Linked DNA regions of Tamandua tetradactyla. The protein of the gene in region 1 interacts with the protein of each later gene in a pairwise test. Links are inferred from orthologs where the notes say so. Each region holds a gene or a part of one and is shown in the gene's direction. Other genes may lie near its edges.

Region 1 (7,909 bases):
GTGTTTTGTTCTTTTTTTCCATAAAATAGTCAAATTCTCCATTTGAAAAGACAGAAAAATATAAAGAAAATAAAAAACATTTACTCGTTATCTTCTACCCCAAAATACTTCAAATATTGTTATATTTCCTTTCAACCTTTTTTCAGTGTATTTGTGTATTTACAAAATTGAAACTATGTTATATATAGTTTTGATCCTATTTTTTCTACTTAATATTATACTTCATTTTCTCATGTCCTTAAATCTTCTTCTGAAAAGTTTTTCTAGGTGTATGTGGTAGTTAGGTTCAGGTGTCAACTTGGCCGGGTGAAGGTGCCTAGTTCTGTTGCTGTGGACATGAGCCAATGGTATGTGAACCTCATCTGTTGCTGATTACATCTGCAGTCCGCTAGAAGGCATGCCTGCTGCAATGAATGTTTGATTTAATTGGTTGGTGCTTAAATGAGAGAGCTCAACTAGCACAGCCCAAGCAGCTCAGCATACCTCATCTCAGCACTCTCAGCCCAGGCCTTTGGAGATGCCGAAAGGAATCACCCAGGGGAAAGTTGTTGGAACCCGGAGGCCTGGAGAGAAGGCCAGCAGAGACCATCCTGTGCCTTCCCACCTAAGAAAGAACCTCAGTGGAAAGTTAGCTGCCTTTCCTCTGAAGAACTAACAAAATAAATCCCTTTATTAAAAGCCAATCTGTCTCTGGTGTGTTGCATTCCGGCAGCTAGCAAAGTAGAACAGTGTATTTTATCTTTTGTGAGTTGTCCATTTATCCTTTGCTCATTTTTATATTGGAATATTAATGAGCTTCCATATTGATTTATAAAACTCTTTATAAAGATATTAATCTTTGTCTCGCTCTTTAAAAAAAAAGGCCATTTCTTTACTCAATCAAAACCATTAAAGTTCCTTGAGGAAATAAAACTTTTCTTTATACTAAACTTTAAGGTTTGAAATTTAAAATAGAATATCTATTTCCCTGAGCAAAAATCAGGAGTGCTTCAAATACTGGAGAGCTCATTTGTTTACCTTACTTTTCTAACTTAATTCATTTTGAATAGCTAAGGCATGCATGCATATGGTTTAAAATTCAAAAGATACCTAAGGTACACCAACTCCTCCCTCCCAAGCAGAATTGATTCCTATTCTCCCCTGAGAAATTCCACCATTGTTACTTTTTACCACTCCCACACCCTCAGCCATCTCTCCTTATCAATCAGAGAATGAAGCAAGGAAAAGCTGAAGCCTGAGAAATGTCTCCTGGATTTGGCCAATACTAACAGAAATCACTGACACCCTTGGGGTGGGTAGGTTGAGCAGAGATAGCAGGTAGGAATTTCATACTCATTTTTAAACAAAATATTTTATTAATAAAATAATATTTTATTTTTTCAGGTTTAGCTTTCATTGTATATGTATATTTCATTGTATATCTAAATAAGCAGCTTAAACAAGACAAGCAAGTGTTTTGCTTTATTTTGTCTTATGCACATGAAGTTTGGATGCAGGCACTCTACAGACAATAAGAATGTAAGTTCATTCCACTTGTGCTGCACTATCTCAGCACTGGCTTCCATCTTCAAGGTTGCCTCATGGTCCAAAATGGCTATTGTAGCTCCTACCATCATGTCACATTTCAGGCTGGAAGAAGTAGGAAGGGAGTGGGCATTAAAAAGGCATACTTCCCAGCTGAGTAGGCTTCCTTTTAAGGTGCTTTCTCAGAATTCCCACACAACTTCCACTTAGGTCCCCTAGTCACCCACAGGCTCAGGATGGCGTTAAAGCGGGAAGGAAGTGCTGGGTGAGCTGACGGTGCCCTCTGGCAAATTATCTGCACAGGATTTTATACTGTAGCATTGACTTCATGAATTTACCATGTTACTAGCAGTAAGAGAAAAATATCTTTTAACTGGGCATATGGCTATACAGAGAAAGAAAAATTAAGGAAGGAGTGGAAATTAGCTATTGAATAGTCATCAACTGTCCCGTTCATTTTGTGTCAAGATTGAAAAACACTTTTTAAATAAAGAGCTGTACCAGAAGCCCCACACTGGAGGCCAGGAGGCCAATTTCACCTTGCAGGCATGATTTTTAAATTTTTAGTAAGTTGCCAAACACTTAAGTCTGTAAATTTCACATGAAAGTCTAGATTTCTGCTTTCTCTTGGGAAAAAAACTAAACATTTAGCAGTATGCTGGACGGCATCCTCGGTGGCCGTAACTGGCAAGGGACAGGGCTACATTCCCAGGGACCGCTGTCCTCCATTTAGACAATGTCCCCAGCTTTCCCTATTTTGTCCCCGACCTGACCTGCTCATTTAAGTTATCTTCTTACTTCCAAAGCGCGTTTGAGTTTGCACCTGTCACTTCATAACTGAACAAATAACGTTCACAACGATGAGATGTATGCCAAAAGTATGATAGTGGAAGCATTAAATTAATGGCTAGTCTCATTATTTTGACTGTTCACTGTTCCTTCATCTAAGCATTTAAGCACATTCAATGTGTTAGGAATGCCTTTCAGGAAGACGGGGCACAGCCCTTTCTCAAGTGTCCTCACCTGCCCGAGGCAGGGACCCGAGCAGTGAGTTGAATTCGCCAGCCCCGCCCTAGCCCCACCCAACACACTTCACGTGTGTGTGCACATGCCAACCTTCCAGGGCTCCTTGGAGCCTGGCCCAACGTCCAAACTGCACTGTCCTAAAAGAGACAAAGTTGACTCAGGTGTGGCCGAGGCCTGGTGGCCACTTTTCAGGCATCCTGGCGTTCTGCGCATTCAAGAAACAATGGAGCTGACAGGGATTACCAAGTGGAACTCTTCCCTTTCCCTCTTCTCTGACCCCACCCCAGCTCCTCAAGGATTTTATTCCATCTTTTCTCACCATCACCCACTGCTGGGGATTTTAAGGAGTTACACTGGAAATTCTGGAAAACAAAAACAGCAGCGAGGCATCCCTGAGATAAGGAGATGGTGGGCAGCCTCAGCTACTTATCTCCATCTCTCATATTTGTACATTGAGTCACAATGTTTATTACTCCTTTGTGAGTAAACCCGAGAAGCATCCTTCAGTTCCTCCAAATGTCAATTTTTGACCCAATTTCAAAGAAAGACCAGAATCTGAGACTCTGTGATGTGGGCTAGTCCAAGCACCCCATATTTTTCTGGAATTGGGTTGGGGTTATTTGGGCCAGGAACTAGAGTTCTGTAGTCAGAGTGTGGTTTGGGGGTGGGGGGTGAACTTGGGTTTGGCAAGTTCACTTAGCTCGGCAGACCTCCTGCCCACCAGGGGAGGCCAGGGCAGAATCCTGGAAAGCAAAGGGGGAAGCAGACGCCCCTCTTGCTTATGTACAGTCTGCCAATACTGAGAAAATTCCAAAGAAAATTAGGAAATACAAGGCAGGGATGAGAGGGTAACACAACATAACTCTAAGTCCACTGGCTGATGGAAAGAGAATGGATGGTGAGCTACTCCAGGGCGGTGAGCTACTTCAGAACCGTGAGCTACTTCAGAACCGTGAGTTACTCCAGGGCCGTGAGCTACTCCAGGGTGGGCTGCCGCAGGCTTCCCCGTGTCCCGGGCTTTGGTAAGGAGCAGACACTTTTTCCGCCCTACTCAACACAACCACTCTATTTCAGTGGATAAATATCCTACGGTTATCAAAAGAAAAAAGAGGTATAATGAAGTCTCCCCTCTCGCCAGCGTACTCGTCATGCCCATCTCACCAGAGGGAACTCGGGATCTGAAGGGCAAACAGACTTGCTTGGGCACAGAAGGGAAGGAGAGCTGGGCTTGTGTGACTCGTCTCTGCCCTTCGGAAATGCTCGCCGGAGAGAAAAAAACAAAATAAAGCTTCCTGCGGTAAAGACGTTGAAAACGGAGCCAGGTTGCCCCTCTGCAGGTCTCACCCAGACCCACAAACTGCCCAAGGCGCAGCGCCACGAGCAGCAATGTCTGCGAACTCGAGGCCGTGCAGGCACCGCAAACAAGCCCCAAGGCCGGCTAAGGGAGGCCCCAAGGGAGGCAGGGAAGAGCGCCCCAAACGCCCCACGTGCAGCTCGCCTTCTCTTCTCTTCCTTAGGCCAAGACGGGACACGATCTGGGTGGAAACTTGATCCTGGGCTCCCTGAACTGCAACCCCAAGTAAAAGCCTCTACTGCCTTTCAGCTTAATTTGTTTCTTAGCAGACATACCTTACGATAGACTTTCCTTTTTTCTAACAAAGTCGCAAGGGCCTCCGAATGTGAATGGGGTGTTTCCACAGGGTGCACCACGTCGCGTGCCGAAGGGGGCCCGCAGGCAGCGCCCCCGACACAAAGGCGGCGTCCCTGCGCGGGCGGCGAAGGGGCACAAAGGCGGGCAGCCCCCGGGCCGGGCAGGCCGCCGCCGCGCCGAGAGGGCCAGGGCCTGCGCAGGGGCCGCTCCCTGCCGCGCCAGCCCCGCCCGGGCCGCAGCTCCGGGCCTCCGCGGCAGCGGGGCCGTAACAGTCGGCGGGCCGGGCGGGGGACGACGGGCCGGAACCGAGGCTGGCGGGGCCGCGCGCCCGCCGCAGGCCGCGGCCAGGCCCCGCCCCCGAGCCGCCCCTTCCGCCGGCGCCGGGCGGGGTCTCGGCGGCCCGGGATCCGCTCGGACGCGGCCACGTTGTCCTGCGCGCTCGGCGCGCGTCGCCCGGCCCGCTCCGTCCCCCCAACCCCCCCGCGAGCCCGCGCGGCGCCGCCAAGGCCAGTGGGGCCCACTCGGCGGGGCGGCGGCACGGAGCGGCCCGGCCGTCCAGGCCTCAGCGCGCGGGCGCCGCCCGTCCGGGGCCCCTCGGCTGCCCCCGCGCCGCCAGCCCGCGGGAGCGCAGCCCTCAGCGCGGGGCCCATGCCCGGGCGCCCCCGCGGGCGCGCGCCATGGCCTCCGGGAGCGTGGCCGAGTGCCTGCAGCAGGAGACCACCTGCCCCGTGTGCCTGCAGTACTTCGCCGAGCCCATGATGCTCGACTGCGGCCACAACATCTGTTGCGCGTGCCTCGCGCGCTGCTGGGGCGCCGCCGAGACCAATGTGTCGTGTCCGCAGTGCCGGGAGACCTTCCCGCAGCGGCACATGCGGCCCAACCGGCACCTGGCCAACGTGACCCAGCTGGTGCGGCAGTTGCGCTCCGAGCGGCCGTCGGGGCCCGGCGGCGAGATGGGCGGGTGCGAGAAGCACCGCGAGCCGCTGAAACTGTACTGCGAGCAGGACCAGACACCCATCTGCGTGGTGTGCGACCGCTCGCGCGAGCACCGCGGCCACAGCGTGCTGCCGCTCGAGGAGGCGGTGGACGGCTTCAAGGTGAGCGCCCAGCGCGCCGGCGGGGGGCTCGGGACCTGGCTGGACAAAGGGACGCGGGCGCCCGGGGGCTTCCCTTTCATTCCGCCCAGAAAATGGCCGAGCCGGACGCGTGCTTCCCAGCCGTCATTTCCTCCCTGTCCGCTCTGAGCCTCCGCGCCCGGCTTTAGGAGGAAAACCTGTGGCTGCGAGGGAGCCAGAGGCCCCCCAGCCCGCCCCTTCCCCCGTGGCCTGCATGGAAGGCTTGGGGGAGACCGTCCGCACAAAGACAGCCGCGCGGGCCCCACCCTGGCAGTGCCAGGTGTGCGTGCGCCCGCGCCCCCCGGCCCGCGCATCCGCGCGCCCCCGGCCCCCGCCCCGCGCACCCTGCCCTCCCGGGTGATTTCCGCGAAATCCACGCAGACGCTGGCTGGCTGCGCACACACCGAGCTCTGTCAGCATTTCCTCTCCACCGAAAGGAACACGGCTCCTGACTGCTCGAGCAGGTCATTTAACATTTCTGAGACTCGTGGAGAATAACAGCACAATTTTCATGAAGATTAAGTGAAATGGTGGGGGTGGGGGTGGGGGTGGGGGTGGGGGTGGCCTTTGCCAACTGTTGAGCCAACAGACTCACACAGCTAAACCTTAACAAGGAAACGAAGCGTTACACTTCAAACGGTGGTAAGGTAGCATTCAAGGACTGCAGGCTGCTGTGGCGTCTTCTCTACATATGAGGGATGCAGCAACACACTTGCAATTATGCATTTTAAAATGTGAGTCTGTCACTTCATGCATGATCAGTCACTTAACGTCTATGGTGTTTTCACCTAAATTAATTCACTTGGGCTCAGAACCCTTGAGTAGGTGGGAAGGTGAATTCACCCCTGCTGCACCTTCTCACCTGTGGAAGTTACGCCTTGACTCCTTAGTCTAGCTGCATTTCCAGAGACCATGCAGTGTTCTTGAGGCAGGGGGAGACCCACTGTGTGAGACACAAAGTGACCAAGGAGCAGCGTGGTGGCGCTGGCCCCTGCGCCCTGCACTGAGGGTGGCCATGTTGTCCAAAGGCAGGCCCAGCACCAGGAGTGTGGGGTCCATCTGTGACAGAGCAGCGGCGCGGAGGTAAAGCACTGCCTCATCTTGTACTGCCCAACTGTCATGCTTTTCTCAGGAACAAATCCAGAACCAACTGGATCACCTAAAAAGAGTGAAAGACCTGAAGAAGAGGCGGAGGGCACAAGGGGAGCAGGCGCGAGCGGAACTCTTGGTGAGTGCTGCTCCAGCGCGCAGCTGACACTGCTTCTGCTGCCCACTGCTCTCCCCGCCAGGGTGTTGAGAGTTGTTAGATGCAGGTCAGGACAACCCCCAGGGCAGCTGGGAACTCCCCTGCACACCCAAAGGAAAACCAGATCCTTTCCCGCATTTGGGGAAAAGATTCTGGAGCCAGGGTCTGGAGAGTTGACCTGCTGTAGGTGTCAGCTGCTGGCTTCTGCAGAGGGCCACATGGGTGATTTTTCTCTGAGCTGCTGCCTTCACAGCTCCTCAGCCCTGAGCTTTGCTCTCTGTTGCCTTCTCTCCTTGCTCCCAGGGCTTGCCCAGTGGCTGATATGCTAGTTCCTGATTGGGGTATTTGTGGGTTTTGTTTTGAAAATTGAGGGGAAAAAAATAACTGCTGTTTTGTTTAAAAATAAATAAAAATATTACAAATCCCCTCCTAGTAGAGATATTTGCACCTGAAAAGTAAACTCTTGGACTAGTAGTGGATAGTCCCACTTGTGAATAATTTTGTCATCTTCTCCCATCAATAGGAATTTTGTCATCATCTTCCTGCAGTATTAAGTTTGTTGGCAGGAATTTTTCCCCCTTGCTGTGCTGGCACCGCGCATTGAGACCTCAGCTCCCCTGGCTTGAAAATAGGCCTGATGGGTGGAGAACCTTCTCAGTGGGCCTGGATGGACTCTGTCGGAATGAGCAGCCCAGTGTACCTGGGCGCAGGTCGTGGAGCACAGGCTTGGCGTCCAGGTCTGCCCCCTGGCACTCCTCCCACCCCTTGCGTCATGGGCAGAGCCATAACCTGCCAGGGCCTCAGTTTGCTGATCTGTGGAGCGTGTAGGCTGGACCCACTGATGGTTTGTAATCACGGCCAGTGGTGCCCAGCCCTCCCCCCCAAGCCCGTGAGCATTTCTGTGGCTGTCACAGCATCTCGGAAGGGGGCAAGGAGTGACGGTGTCCTGTGCCAGGCAGAATTGTCCCTACCACGGTTCCAATGGGCCCTCCTTCAAGAAGCACCATTGAGTTGATCTTTAGTGTCTATTTTAATTTTCTGTTGCTGAGATTATATTTTATAGTTTATGTCTTTGAATGACTTTCCAGCTGAGGAGAGGAGTGAGCTTGTGGAAAGGATTTATAAATGAGGGCGTGTGTGCATCACCGAGTTGCAGTGAGTGACTGAGAGGGAGAGTGGATGGGAGCACATCTCCTGAGAAGGGGTGTTTCAACCAGCTGTCAGCAAACTTTCTGTAAAAGGCCAGAGAGGAAGTACTTTAGGCTTTACAGGACGTACAGTCTCTGTCATGACCACCCAGCCTACCGTTGTAGCACAAAAATAGTCAGACAGCACTTAAATGAATGG
Region 2 (7,589 bases), on another chromosome or scaffold:
TTTAAAGGTTCCTCCTGCCCCAGTTTTTGTTTTAGCAACTATTTATTGAAAGCCATTTAAATACTAAAAATATCCATGTTAGACTTGAAAATTCCATGCCCAAAACCTCTCACCAGGTTCTCATTTACCTCAGTTTTAACTTCTTCCTTACGATGTTTATTCTGAATCCATACTTTGGGGTTTGAAGATCATTCTCCTTAATGAAAAAGTAGCAAAATAAAAAAGTTGATATACTTTTTTTTTTTGCATGGGCAGGCACGAGGAATCAAACCCAGGTGTCCGGTATGGCAGGAGGGAACTCGCCCTGTTGAGCCACCGTGGCCTCCCAGATGTTAATACACTTTTAATGCTAAATGTTAATATACAGTCAAAAAATGTTAACTATGCCTAAAAATGTTAATAAAATTCAGGACTACAAGCAAACATTAATGATTCTCATACTTGGCAGCTTATGAGACACACTCTTAAAAATCCTGACATCCAGGCCATACCCTAGGCTCAGTCAAGTCAGAATCACCGGAATGGGCCTCAATATTTATTTTAAAGCCTTCCAGGTTATTTTGGAACTCTGTACTTTATGCATGGTTTTCCTGTAAACCTACAATTTCTTTAAAATAAAGGAAAATGCATTCCAGGTGATTCTAATGCAAGACTAGTTTAGGAACCAATGATAAAAACCACAGCAGCATACATGGTACAAGCAGGCAGGAAGTGACTACTGACACTTAAGAGGTGAGTTTTAATATGGGGTTGGAAGGAAGAACAGTGCCTAACTCTAAATTCTATATTTTTCTCTTAAAACCTGGTGTCCAGAGGTCCCAGATGGGAACACAGGACTCCTTAACTAAAAAAGTGAGGGCAAAGCCAAGAACTAATAAAAAATATGGCTTGCTCCCCCTTCGGGGAATGGTGAGAGTTGGGAGAAATTCAACTTCCCTAAGAGATATTCTCACAAACAGTGTGGACAACCAAAGCTATAGGCTGAGCCCCCAGTCCTTGGGTTTGTTCACATGAAACTTAACCCCACAAAGGATAGGTCAATTCTACTTAAAATTTAGGCCTAAGAGTTACCCCCAAGAGAGCCTCTTTTGTTGCTCAGATGTGGCCCCTCTCTCCAGCCAACATGACAAGCAGTCTCATCACGCTCCCCCTCTCTGCGTGGGACATTACTCCCAGGGGTGTCGACCTTCCTGGCAACGTGGGACAGAGATCCTGGAATGAGCTGAGACTCAGCATCAAAGGACTGAGAAAAACCCTAGAATGAGCTGAGAATTAACATCAAGGGATTGAGAGAAACTTCTCAACCAAAGGGGGAAGAGTGAAATGAGACTAAGTGTCAATGGCTGAGAGATTCCAAACAGAGTCGAGAGGTTATCCTGGAGGTTATTCTTATGCATTAAGTAGATATCACCTTGTTGTTCAAGATGTAGTGGAGCGGCTGGAGGGAACTGCCTGAAAATGTAGAGCTGTGTTCCAGTAGCCATGTTTCTTGATGATGATTGAACAATGATATAGCTTTCACAATGAGACTGTGAATGTGAAAACCTTATGTCTGATGCTCCTTTTAGCTACTATATCAACAGAAGAGTAGAACATATGGAATAAAAATAAAGAATGGGGGAACAAATGTTAAAATAAATTCAGTTTGAAAGAGTGGTAAATGAAAGCGAGGGGTAAAGGGAATGGTATGTATAGTCTTTTTTTTCTCTATTATCATTTTATTTCTTTTTCTGTTGTCTTTTTATTTTTTTTCTAAATCGATGCAAATGTACTAAGAAATGATGAATATGCAACTATGTGATGATATTAAGAATTACTGATTGTATATGTAGAATGGAATGGTATCTAAATGTTTTTGTTTGTTAATTTTTTTTAATTAATAAAAAAAGACATTATTGGGATATAATAAAAATCGGAATATAGACTATAAGCTTTATGTCAATGTTAACTTTCTTGAACTTGACAGCTGTACTCAAGTGGTCAAATAAGTGAATATCCTTGATTTTAGGAAAAGTAAAAAGGCAATTTTCAGTGTTCAAGTTTAAATTATATGACCTACACTCAGGTGTTCCGGAAATGGATTGATAAATAGACAGACAGATAGATGATGATGATGATAGATAGACAGATAGATAGATAGATAGATAGATAGATAGATAGATAGATAGATAGATAGATAAAGGATGATACAACAAATGTAGCAAAATGTTAAAATAGTGGGATGTGGGTATCTAGGAGGAGGGAGGGATATTTTGGGGTATTTTTTATTATTTTTGTAACTGACTTGTAAGTTGGAAAGTATTTCAAAATAGAAAGTCAAAAACAAACAAACAAAAAAATATGGCTGGGGCAGGCCACGGTGGCTCAGCAGGCAAGAACACTTGCCTGGAATGCCAGAGGACCCAGGTTTGATTCCCGGTGCCTGCCCATGTATTAAAAAAAAAAAAAAAAAAAATATGGCTTGCTAGACAGGAAGGATTAAAAGGTAACAACTAGATAAAGAAAACAAGATTCACAACCTGTTACTTTTAACAAGATACATTTAAATTTCTAGACTGAAAGACAGCAATCTCTCTCAGCTGCAGGTATGTCATTACCTGGAGAAACTGCTGTGCTCTCAGGAGCCATACAAAGACGATAACACATAGGAAATACAAATCGCCCTAAGCAAAAACTGTTCTTTTATGTTGCATACAATATCTAGCTAATAGGGAACTCAAGTTCTAAGAAAAACAACACAAGTCACCATGCTAGATTTGGGCAAGACCTGACTCACTGGCCAGCCACTCCACTTTTTATCTGGTCAGCACCATCGTCACAATCGTCACCTTCAGCAGGTTTAGGGAAGCCAGCAGGTGCCCACACAGGGCTTGCTGTAAGTCACTGAGACTACAAAAGGCAGAGAGAGGCCTCACCCTGAGTATCAGACCCAGGGTAAGACTTATCTCACTTGAAGGAAAGGCCTTTATGACAACAGAGAAATCCTGGCTTGTGCGTCCTTCTTCTGTTTTCCAGGACTCCTAGTTCATCAAGCAGCCTAGGTAAGTCCTCGCCATGGGCAAAGTTCTCGGTTGATTTCTAGTTTGCCTTCCGAGAGGATTTTCAAGATACCTGTTTTATCTTTCTGTTCAAGGAAATAAGGTGCTGGGTAAATTTCTGTGTCATAGGATAGAGCCAGGGCTGTGGTCTGGTTAACTACCTGCCAGCGTAAGGCCTTGCCTAAACTGTAAGCCAGGACAGAAGTTCAAAACCGGCATTTATAAAAGTGTGCTAAAAGCCACAGAGCAATAGAAATGAACATTTAAAAGGCACGCACGTTTTGGAATTCTTAACTTTTTTTTCATCCTTTAATTATTGTTCCTATCAAGCTTTCCAGCTCCCCACATTAACCCCTTGCTAAATAATGTGTTAGTATTTGTTTGATTTGTTTAAATATTTTATCTGCAGCCCATTCCACACCATTAGTCAACATTTTCATCTGACAGCTGCAATCAAGGCCTCCGCCTCCTTTAAACCAAATATACTTCACAACAAAAGTGCAATTTATGAAAGCTGCTTGCCTCTCTTGCTATAGACATACTTCGTGGATCTTTGGGCAGTCAAGTGTATATATGCCCATAGAGCTTCCAAATAAGAATAACGATTCAAAGTGAAGCCCTACAAAAGTTGGATGATAAAGCTCGCCATCGCTGGGAAAAAAGCACTAATTATCTTAACGGAGTCAAGGCACGAGAACGAAAAGTTACCCGCTGACCACACCAAGAGCTCTTCAAATATACAATATAAATACCCTCGAGAATAAAACAGGTGCGTCCAAACTTGCTGACTACCTTAGACTAACAAAAGCGCAGTCAGCTTTCCCCCATGGAGGTGGCCGGCATACTCAGATTCATCTAGACCAAGGAGGGGACGCAGGAACTTTCGCAGCTACTGACCTAATCCGGATGGGGGTCCCGGCGCCCCTCGCCCAGGACCTCCCCATTCTCCATGCCCCCGACCCACTCGGTCGCGCGTGCTGCTCTGCACCAGCCCCGGGCCGGCTGGGGGACCCTGCTCCCGAGGGCCTCAGTCCTCTCCGCAGGGGTCCACGCGGGTGTGAGGGGTCGAGGAGCGGGCCTCAGGGCACAGACCGGCTCCTCACCTCTTGCGGTCACCCCTCCCGACCTAACCTCTCCGTGCTCCCCGCTTACTCGGCTCGGCGCCGCATCCCTGCGCTCGGCGCCGCGCTCAAGGGCCGGCTGGCGGCCGGGACCCGCCAAAGTGCGGAACAGAAGAGGAAGGGAAGTCTTCCTCGGGGGCCTTAGGGCCCCCATTGCCCCGCGTACACGGCTCCCGCGGCGCACGACAGCGGCGCGACGGCGAGGAAGCTGCCTTACGGCAGGATCGCAAAGCCGGAGGCGGGGGGCGGAGCGCGGCCGACTGAGCGCTTCCCCGCGGTGTGAGGGGTCGAGTGGACAGCGGGGCTGCGGGGTCGCGCTGCTGGATCCCGGCGGCTCTTCGGTGGCCGGGGTGGCTCCGGGCTGCTGTGCCTGACGGCTGGCGGCGGGGCGCGGCGCGGTGAGGCGCGGGGGCCAGAGGGCGTTTTTCCCGGGCTTGGCGGCGCTCGGCCCGGGGCGGAGCTGCGACAGGGGTGGCGGTGCAGAGGTGCAGAGGTCGCGATGGCGCGGACCGGACGGGTGAGCGTGGCGCAGCCCTGCGGGGACGCGGCGCCGTCTCCCTCGGCCGGGGCGGCGGGCGCGGTCTGCTCTCTGCGCGGGGCTCGCCGCGGGCCGGCCCCAGCTCCCGGAGCCGTACTCCGCGCGGCCTTGCGCACTGGCCGGGCCTCCCGGATGGGCTTCCGGGCTCCGAGCGCCGCTGCCCCCTCTCCGCGCGGGCCCATTGTGAGGTCAGAGCCGGCCGGCCCGTCCTGGGGCCCGGGCCGAGACGCCCGGAGAGGCCGCTGCGGCCAGTAGCTGCCGCCTCCGCCGCCGGCCCCTTCACCGGCTTCCCCTTTCAGACCTAGCGGGGCGGGGTGAGAGGGATGCAGCTTGGGGCCCAGCTCCGGTCCCTCACCCCGTAGAGGGCTGATCTTACACCTCGCCACCTCACCTACGGGAAGCCAAGGCCGCAACCAGCTTAGATCTTTCCTGGGTAAAGTTCGGAGGGGGAAGGGTGAGGAGGGAGGCAGGAACGCAGGCTGCCCTTCGTGGGCGTCGGGAAGGCCTGCGTGGTTCCGACGCCCACACGGAATTGGTTTCAATCGATTATTCTTCAGTGAGCCGTTCGGTAGAAACCCGAGGATACACACAAAAGGGGTTAAGCCATTTTGGACCCTAATGGGAGGCGAGCGAATTCATCGGAGCCGAGTCACGTTTCTGCGGGGTGTTTTTTGTTGTGTTGTTTTCTGTTTGTTTAGGAGGGGCGCGTAGTAGAGCCTGGGGAAGTCCTGATCCGCCAGAGCCCAAGGTTGAGCCTTCACTCTTCCTTTCCCCACGGGATTTTCTTTCTGCTGGGAAGATAGGGTGCGGTTGGATTTGAAAAACCGGGTAGCTTTGGAGAAGTGCATAAAGGGACGGAAAGGAATGTGGAAACGGGCACATTTAGGGTGTTTGAGAATTTCTGGTACTTGTTTCCAGTGGCTCCGTTCCTCTTGGTTAAAGTTACTTTTTCTGGAAATTGATTAGTGTTTGGAAGGCTAGTAAAGCTAGTTTTACTCCCCCATTCTTTATGTTCCGCAGAGATGCCCTGCTGGTGTCCAAAAAATAGCTTCCTAACTTAAGACCTAAAATATTTGTGTTATTTCCAAGCTAATAGTTAGCCCTCACGTCATTCTTTTTTTATTGACAAACCAAAACAACATACAAATACGAACATTCTTAACATACAAACATTCCATATATAGTGTACAATCAATGGCTCACGATATCGTCACACAGTAGTGAATTCATCACCATGATCGTTTTTTAGAACATTTACATCATTCCAGAAAAAGAAATAAAAAGAAAAAATTCATACATACTATACCTCTTACCCCTCCCTCTCATTGACCACTAGTATTTCCATCTACCCAATATATTTTAACCTTTGTTTCCCCTGTTTTTTTCTGTACCCCTTACTGCTACTCCCTTTCATTGATCGCTAGTATTTCAATCTACTCAACTTATTTTAACATTTGTTCCCCATTATTTATTTATTTTTAATTCATATTTTTAACTCATCTGTCCATACCGTAGATAAAAAGAGCATCAGACACAAGGTTTTCACAATCACACAGTCACATTGTGAAAGCTGTATCATTATACGATCATCCTTAAGAAACGTGGCTACTGGAACACAGCTCTACAGTTTCAGGCACTTCCCTCTGGCCTCTCTAATACACATTAAACTAAAAAGGGCCTCTTGACTCTGAAATCTGTCAGCCACTGACACTTTATTTTGTCTTACTTCTCTCTTCCCCCTTTCAGTCCAGAAGGATTTCTCAGTCCCTTGGTGCTGAGTCCCAGCCCATTCTAGGATTTCTGTGCCACACTGCTGGGAAGGTCCACACCCCTGGGAGTCATGTCCCATGTAGAGAGGGGGGAGATGCCATACTTCTCTAGGAGAGCATATGCTGTTCTCTTCCAGCTGAAGAAACTTGAAGCTGACAGAATTCCAGCTCATGCTCTAACTACAGTGATGCTGTTTATGATCTCTGCCATGTGTAGGTTATTTTCAGGAGAAAGAGTTGATGTGTCACCCTTCTTTCTGTACTTGAGTATGTCTGTCTTTGGGATTACAATAATGATAAGCCCTTTTATTCTAAGTATATTTTTAAGTGAAAATTTTAGACTTAATATATGATTGCCATTCTGCAGAGACTTTGTGCTGTAATAAGTTATCATTCTTGTCATCTTTTAGTGCTTGTGAAACTGAAAGCAACAAAAGTATGGATATGGGAAATCAACACCCTTCTATTAGTAGGCTTCAGGAAATCCAAAAGGAAGTGAAAAGTATAGAACAGCAAGTAATTGGCTTCAGTGGTGTGTCAGATGACAAGAATTACAAGAAACTAGAGCGAATTCTAACAAAACAGCTTTTTGAAATAGACTCTGTAGATACCGAAGGAAAAGGAGATATTCAGCAAGCTAGAAAGAGGGCGGCACAGGAGACTGAGCGTCTTCTTAAAGAATTGGAGCAGAATGCAAACCACCCACATCGGGTGGAAATACAGAATATTTTTAAGGAAGCCCAGTCCTTGGTGAAAGAAAAGATTGTGCCATTCTATAGCGGAGGCAACTGTGTAACTGATGAATTCGAAGAAGGCATCCAGGATATCATTTTGAGACTGACACACGTTAAAACTGGAGGAAAGATCTCATTGCGGAAAGCGAGGTATCACACTTTAACCAAAATCTGTGCTGTGCAAGAGATCATTGAAGACTGCATGAAGAAGCAGCCTTCCTTGCCACTTTCAGAAGATGTACATCCGTCAGTTGCCAAAATTAACTCTGTGATGTGTGACGTGAACAAGGCTAGAGGCACTCTGATTGCACTTCTGATGGGCGTGAACAGCAACGAGACCTGCAGGCACTTATCCTGTGTGCTCTCGGGGTTGATTGCCGATCTGGATG
Region 3 (6,959 bases), on another chromosome or scaffold:
AAAGACCTTAGAGGGTGGAGAGAGGAGTCCCCAGATGGGCCATCTGGGCTCAAGTAGAGGTTGGCTCCTCTAGGTTTGTGTGTGTGGTGAAAGCAAACACTGCTCAGAGGAAGGGCCCAGAGTTCTGACCCCGAGGATAAAAGTTCTCTCCAAAGGGTCTGATGCTCAAATCTGAGTAGCTGAAAACATGATCATTTTTACATAGGCCTCTTGTCACTTGTCATTTCAGTCGGATAACTGTCTCTTTTATTCATGTTTCCATTTAGATCACGGTTTATACTTCACTGAACTTGAAAGGAATGCTTGTGTTTGTGTGTGAGCACCTGTGTGGTTTGGGTTGTGTTGTGCCTCTGCAAGTTTCCTTTGGTGTTGAAAGGAAAAGGTATTTCTCTCCCTTCCAAGCATGTTCTGCAAATTGATGAACATTTGCAAATTGCTTTGAGATGCGTTAATTTAAGGTGTGAAATAATAGATCTTGTGCAAAGGCTCAGCCACATTTCTGGCATTGATGGATTTCTCTTCCGTCTGGTCTGTGATTTGGGGTGGTAAAAATAGTCCTTGCTTCCACATTTTTATCGGTTTTTTTTTTTTTTTTTTTTTTTGCTGACATCATTCTTAGGAAGTAGTGCACACATGCCATACAGAACTTTCCTAGGCCATCGTATCTGGCAGCAGTGGGAACACAGAGCTCTGGGAGCAAGGGTGCTTCTTGGAGAGAAGGCAGTCATTGGGGTGGTCTAGGTGCCTCCTGGGTGTCTGTGAAATTGCTTTAAAATGAGCGGGCAGTGGGTAGTTAGACTTGGCCGCCAACCAGGGGCAGACTGTGGGGGCCTTAGTGGCTCCTTGATTTGTGGCTATCTTTTCATTTCCGACTTTTGGGTAGTGGCAAGATAGCTTTTTGGGAAAATTTAGCTTAAAAAGAGAAAATTAGGCCAGTGACTTCACCCCTTGCCATCTGAGTTGAGTGGCGCCCACACCGCTCAGTGTCTTCCTTTGGCCAAACCTGAGAAGTGGCGATCTCAGGCTTGACTCCCAGACAGAGAAGCCGACTTTGGGGCAGATCAGTCGATGGTGTAATTTCCTGTGACGTTAAATAGGGGAACTTGAAATTGGAATGTGATCTAGCATTTTGACATCTGTCTCTCTAATGGGATTTGCTTGTATGGAAACAGACCCACATACACAGGCCCCAGGTTAGTTCCAGGCTGGCACTGTTGTCTCCAATTCTGGATTTTTCCACAGGCGCCTTCTCGGGTGGTCTGGTTGCAAAGGCACCAGACTTCTAGCCAAGCCTCCTTGGCATCCACTGGTAGGATCCTAGCATCCCACGAAACCCGGCTCACCCCCCGAGCTGACTCCATATGGGAGGTGAATGAGGGGAGGTGATTGGAGTTGAAAGGTGGCGCGACTGGCCGTGATCCGAAATGCATTCGGTTCCAACTGTCTTGATTCACATGGAGCCGTTCTTTCTTTTAGACATCTGCGTGATGGTGACCTCATAGAAAAAGAGAAAGAGGGCTTTATGCAAGAATTCCATAGAGTGTGAAGGAATTCTGACAAGGGAGGGGAGGGGAGTAGCTGCTGGGAGCCTGCAGTGCTGCATTTTACCCTCGTTGTTGGACCCTGAGGCTGGGGGTGGGGGGCAGGGGGTGCTGTGAGGAAGGGGGGGCAATGCTCGACCCCAAGGAACAGAAATCCATTGAAGAACTCCCCTGTGCCCAAGTCGTAGCTGAGGTGCCGAGGTTAGTCTCTCAGATATAACGTCCCTGCGGGCGAGCAGCAGGGCTGGGATTGTTCACGCTGCCTTTCCCCAGAGCCTGCCCTCTTTCGTCCCTGATTGTCCACAAGGTCTTTGAAACTGGGAATTATTGGGAAGTGATCTGCAAGTAGATAATACTTTAAAAGGCTCTTCAGCCCTGATCATGCCTGCTGCCAACGGGGAACTCAGTAGGCTGTCAGTGCAGAGGAGAGCATGCTCCAGGAGCACTGGGCTCGAGAGGGACCCGTGGCATTTCAGCGGACTGGGATGGACAGGCTATGGGAGTTGGACAGATTCTCGGCCAAATGGAAACTGAGGCCCAGAGAGGGGAGGACTCGCAACCACAATCAAAGCTTGAAGACAAGCTTTGAGTTCCAGACCTGACATTTCTGAGCAAGTCACTTTAGCTCTCTGGGCCTCACTCCCCTCATCTGGAAAACAGGGTTGGGATGATGACCTGCTAAGACTTGGGGGAGAATGCAATGAAAATAATGCTCAGGAAGTGCTCAACATGTGGGTGGCACCTGGGAGGCGCTTGAGGGTCACCCCTGGAGGTTTTAATTACCAAGGACTTGCCCAGAGTCACACAGGCAGGAAGAATGTGCCCCGAGGGTTTGCAGTGCCCTTGCCCAGGGCTGAGAGGAGGTGTTGGTGCCCGCCCCGCCCCGCCCCCAGCCGGGTGCTGCTGAAGCTCTTTTCTATGCCCATGACTCCCAAATGGGGTGGAAGGAGACAGGTTGGAGAGAGGCAAGATTTACATGTCAGGATGGCCCTGAGGTGTCTCAGGAAACAGGTATTGTGCTTTCCTCCCCTCCCAGCCCCACGTGGTGAGGAAAGCGAGCCTTCAGACGTTTTTGGTGCCGCCTCTCGGAGTTGGGAGAGTCTCGGGAGGCCACGAGAGCTGCGCCAGCCGTGGTGTTTTATTAAGCGAGGCAGGTGTTTTGTTAATTATTTACACAGCGTTGGCCCCATCCGTGGTCTGTGCTGACAGCAGCGGCTGTCACAGACTCGGGCGACGGGGCAGCCAATTCCTGGTCAGAAGTGAGCACGAGACTCCCTTCCCCCAGGAGCCCCCATCGGCCAGGCCTGAGGGGGTCTGTGTGTGCCCTGCGCCCCCTCCTGAGTCATTTGGGGTTCCCTCAACCGGCTGGTTTTCCCCGAGGAAGAGAAGAGAGATCCTTGGCCTTCGGAAGGGGCCGCCCTTCCTGCGGCAGCCCCTGCTGGAACTGTGCCCGGCTCTTTAGACGGGTATCGCACCTGAGACCCCGCCCCGGTTGGTGTACTGGGGAGAGGGCGCCGGAGGCTCCGGGGGGGCTCAGAATCCAGTGTCTCCCCCTCCCCCGCCGGGCGAATGTGTCTGGAAAAACGCAGGAGTGACCCCAGGCTCGTGGCCCTTGATTCTCAGGCACAGTTCGGCATGATTTGCCTTAAAAATCAAACTTGACGATGAGAAATCTGAAAAGAATGGGGCCTGGGGTCACAGTCTTCCCTGCAAGGCCCCTACGAATACGGCCAAGTGCTTCTCCTGTTACCTGTTTTACATAAGGAGGTTTTGCATAGGAGTTAATTTAAGAAAAGGTTCTGATGCCTAAAAAAAGAAAAGTATGAAAGCCTCTCCGTTTACACGTGGAGATACTGAGGCCCAGAGAGAGGCGGCGGCAAGGCCTGTGTGCCTTGTGGTTGGAGTCCTGCCACGCTGGTCCTTCAGGCCGAGTGGACTCCAGTTGGTTAACCAGACACGCCTGTGCTGGCTGGAATGTGGCGCATCACATACGCGTTTGTTCGTTCGTTCATTCATTCATTCATGAAATGTGTTCCAACGTTTTGGGTCTGGCTTTGTGTCGGGAGCCGGCAAAGCTGTGCCTTGGCCTCTCCCTGCTGGGTGGGAACAGAGTTTGGGTCATGCCCACCTCGGAGGTGTTTGTGAACAATTTGCAGCAGTCGTCTCTGGGGAAACGGGGGGGGGGGCATGGCTTCCAAGAGTGAGGGGCATCTGAGCCAGCCTAGAGGGAGATGTGAGGTGTGCTGGGCAGGGAGAGGGCACGGGCGTGTCCCAGGCAGGGCGTTTGGAAGCTGGGAGGCCTGAGAGGGCTGGGGTGCAGGGTGAGTGGGTGAGTGGGGAGGTGTGGGACAGGGCACGGGGTTCAGGACGAGGGCCCTGCGCTGCGGACAGGCCTGGGACACTGTGAAGCCAGGAACCTCCTGCTGCCTCGTCAGCCTTTAGTCCCTTCAGCAGCTCCTCCGTGGGTACCAGGTGCCAGGTGCTATTCTGACCCCTTTCCATGGATTCACGCCCTTCATCCTCCCGGCGGTTCTGTGGGGTAGGAACTGTCATGCCCGATTTATAGACGAGGAAACAGATGCAGAGTCCAGGGTTCGTGGTGCTTAATTGCCTTCAGCGTAAGTGCTGTGAGGAAACCTGCAGCGTGCGGGTCTGGCAGAGGAGGGCAGCGGCTGGAAGGACCTCCGGAAGGACCGATTAGGCCAGGAGCTAGCACAGGGGATGGCCAGTCGCACACCTGGAAGAGGACCTCCCAGGTGGCCGGAAGGAATAGCATGTGGGAAGGTACCATTGCTGGGAGCGTCAATTGTTTATCTGGTGCCTGAGAAAGGGCCAGGGAGGCTCAGCCACAAAAAACACCGGCGATCGGCAGGAGGGGAGGCTGCTGAGGCCCTCAGGCTCTGGGCAAGGTTTGGTCTTTAAGAGGTGGGGCCCTGCTGCTTCTCCAGCTTCACTTCTCAGTAGTTTCCCCCTGGCTCACTCTGTGCCAACAACTCTAGCTGCCTTTCCTTTCCTCAGACATACCAAACATACTCCACCTCAGGACCTTTGCACTTACCATCCCCTTTTTCTGAAATTCTTTTCCCCTGATATTCACATGACTTTCTTCTAGACTTCATGCAAGGCTCTGCAACATCACTTCTCCAGAGAGACGCTGTCATCCTCTCCCTATTAGTCAGCCCCTCTTGTCCCTTCACTCTCTATTCCCTGGGTAGGCTTTAGTTTTCTTCATGGCGCTTACCTTTCCCTGACATCATATATGTGTTATTGGCCTCCCAGACTGAAAGTAAGCTTCCTGAGGACAGGGACTTGAAATGTGCCCAGATCATGCTTGGCATACAGTAGGTGCTCAGTATTTATTGGGCAAATGGGAAGTTTTATGTGGGCAAGTGGCAGGATCCTTGGAGAATGTTTATATGGAGTTAACTAATCAGTTAGCAGGCTTTGCTGGCAGCAACGGCCCCTCCACCCTCCTCCCTCCTCCTACTGTTCATTGAGTAACTGGGTTGCACCCAACTGACCCTCCTCGATGAAGAGGAAGTTTCTAGAGAAAGGACTCAACTGCAAATTGCTCCAAGTAGGAGGAACTTGGTTGCCAAAACGTAACCCAGAAGGGCTTGCACATGCCAGAGTTATATGGGTCTCCTTCCTTTGCTGCTTTTCTGCAGAAGTAGCTGCTGAATGTCTATGGAGGGGCTTGGGGAATGGGTACCAGGGTTCATATCTTAAAGCTGCATTTTTGTGTGGAGCATGCTTTTTGTTTAAAGAATACATCTTTTGTATAATTGCTTTGAGAAGGCAAGGGGCTAATCCTTCCAAGCCACCTCTGTTTGGCAAATGAACTGGTCCAGCAAACAGGGAATCCCAGGATTGAAAGAGAGAATAGTTCTCCAGCTGGTATGGTCTTGGCGGGCCACCGGGGTGGGTGTCCAGATGGCGGGACCACTGGGCACCACACGGCAGGCAGACAGGGAGCCGGGGAGAGGGATCCCACACCCTGGGTTTGATGGGTCCGGTGAGCCCGGCTGCATTTGGTTACAGCGGAATCACAAGTGTGGACTTGGCATTCCCAGCCCTGTGTCTGTGTGTGCATTTCCTTTGTTTGCTTCCCCCAGGAATTTCAGTGGCCTTTGTGTTTGTTTTAAATGCCAACCTCCTCCTCAGCTAGCCGAAGAGGAAATGAGGACTGGGTTTTTGTCTGGGCAGAGACTGTAACAAGGGTGGGGACCGCCTTAGAGCCAGCCTGATGGTGACAGGGCAGCATTTGGGAAGCATTCTGCGGTTTGTCCTGAGGGGTGACAGGCTCAGAGAGTGCTGGACTGGGCGCTGGGGTCACTGATGAGTAAGACTCGTGCCCAGTTTTCACGGCGCGTCAGCACGAAGCTGCCGAGCACCACTTTAGGACCAGCCTCCGTGCTGGCCTCTGGGAGAAACACACAGGAATCAACGCGGTCCCTTACTCACCTTCCTGGGGAAACATGAACAGAAAATACTTAGACTCCAAGCCATAGATAGTTTTCATTTGAGCATGCTTTTGTGGTATCCCGTGTCTTCAGCTATCAGTCATCCAGAGGGTAGGCACATGGTGACCACGGTTTACAAACTCCCAGATGGACAGTGCTCTGTAAAAGTGCTGCGGTGCCGTTTGGGGGCGGGAGAGGCGGTTCGAAACCCTTCTTCGGTCGCTGGTGTGTGAGAAGCTCCTGATAACATGAAGTGCTTGTGGGGCGGCATCTTTGAAATTGCGCAGTGCTGAAAATTCGGGGACATTTGGTCGCTGTGATGTGCTAATGTTAGCAATCGAGATATGTAATTACCCAGAAAACACCCTTTTCCTACCCGCTAAGGGTAACTGGAGAGACTTGATTTCTCCGAAGGAGTTTCTTACACAGTGTAATTTGGGTCAGCAGACAGGGACTCATTATCCCTCATTAATTTTTTAGCTAATTAAGCGATTTATCTGGTCACGCGTTTATTCCTTCAATCGCTGTTCATCCATCAGTGTTTCCCGAATGCCTCGTAAGTGCCTGACCGGTTCTAGGCACTGGGGATTTAATGAAACAGGAGAGAAAATATCACCGCATCCCCCATGTGTGCCCAGCCCTGTGCCAGCCTGTGGTGTGGGGCAGCAGGGTACGGATGAATTAATTCATTTCTCGGTGCACATTTACTGAGTACCTACTATGCACAGACCCCTGGAGATGCAGAAATGAACCATGGCACAGACCCTAAGGGCTTGAACCCTCGCCCCGTTGTGATGGGGTCTTTTGGTCCCCACCCTCTGCTTTCTGTCATAAGCCCCCATTCACGGGCCACGTGATGGCGTCTCGGAAATGAACCGGGAACCATCCAGATGCCCCAGGAGCCGACGTGAGAACAAGCATCCCCTTCACACATCGTGTCTCAGTTCAGCGTCTT

The links.
Region 2: the proteins of TRIM27 (region 1) and BAG5 interact in binary tests that used the Homo sapiens proteins (3 or more experiments, as listed by UniProt). The two-hybrid records come from large-scale screens. The link is inferred for Tamandua tetradactyla from reciprocal best matches to the Homo sapiens genes TRIM27 and BAG5.
Region 3: the proteins of TRIM27 (region 1) and NEK6 interact in binary tests that used the Homo sapiens proteins (3 or more experiments, as listed by UniProt). The two-hybrid records come from large-scale screens. The link is inferred for Tamandua tetradactyla from reciprocal best matches to the Homo sapiens genes TRIM27 and NEK6.

The regions. Positions count from the first base shown.
Region 1 is NC_135331.1:193,510,821-193,518,729, forward strand, and holds the start of TRIM27 (zinc finger protein RFP), read left to right. Parts: upstream 1-4,839; 5' UTR 4,840-4,878; coding exon 4,879-5,298; intron 5,299-6,448; coding exon 6,449-6,544; intron 6,545-7,909. UniProt on the Homo sapiens protein: E3 ubiquitin-protein ligase that mediates ubiquitination of various substrates and thereby plays a role in diffent processes including proliferation, innate immunity, apoptosis, immune response or autophagy.
Region 2 is NC_135340.1:89,304,592-89,312,180, forward strand, and holds the start of BAG5 (BAG family molecular chaperone regulator 5), read left to right. Parts: upstream 1-4,555; 5' UTR 4,556-4,676; intron 4,677-4,810; exon of another isoform or gene 4,811-5,130; intron 5,131-6,876; 5' UTR 6,877-6,904; coding exon 6,905-7,589. Other genes in the region: COA8 (cytochrome c oxidase assembly factor 8), read right to left, coding at 4,191-4,313. UniProt on the Homo sapiens protein: Co-chaperone for HSP/HSP70 proteins. It functions as a nucleotide-exchange factor promoting the release of ADP from HSP70, thereby activating HSP70-mediated protein refolding.
Region 3 is NC_135328.1:46,340,157-46,347,115, forward strand, and holds the start of NEK6 (serine/threonine-protein kinase Nek6), read left to right. Parts: upstream 1-3,925; 5' UTR 3,926-4,315; coding exon 4,316-4,325; intron 4,326-6,959. UniProt on the Homo sapiens protein: Protein kinase which plays an important role in mitotic cell cycle progression. Required for chromosome segregation at metaphase-anaphase transition, robust mitotic spindle formation and cytokinesis.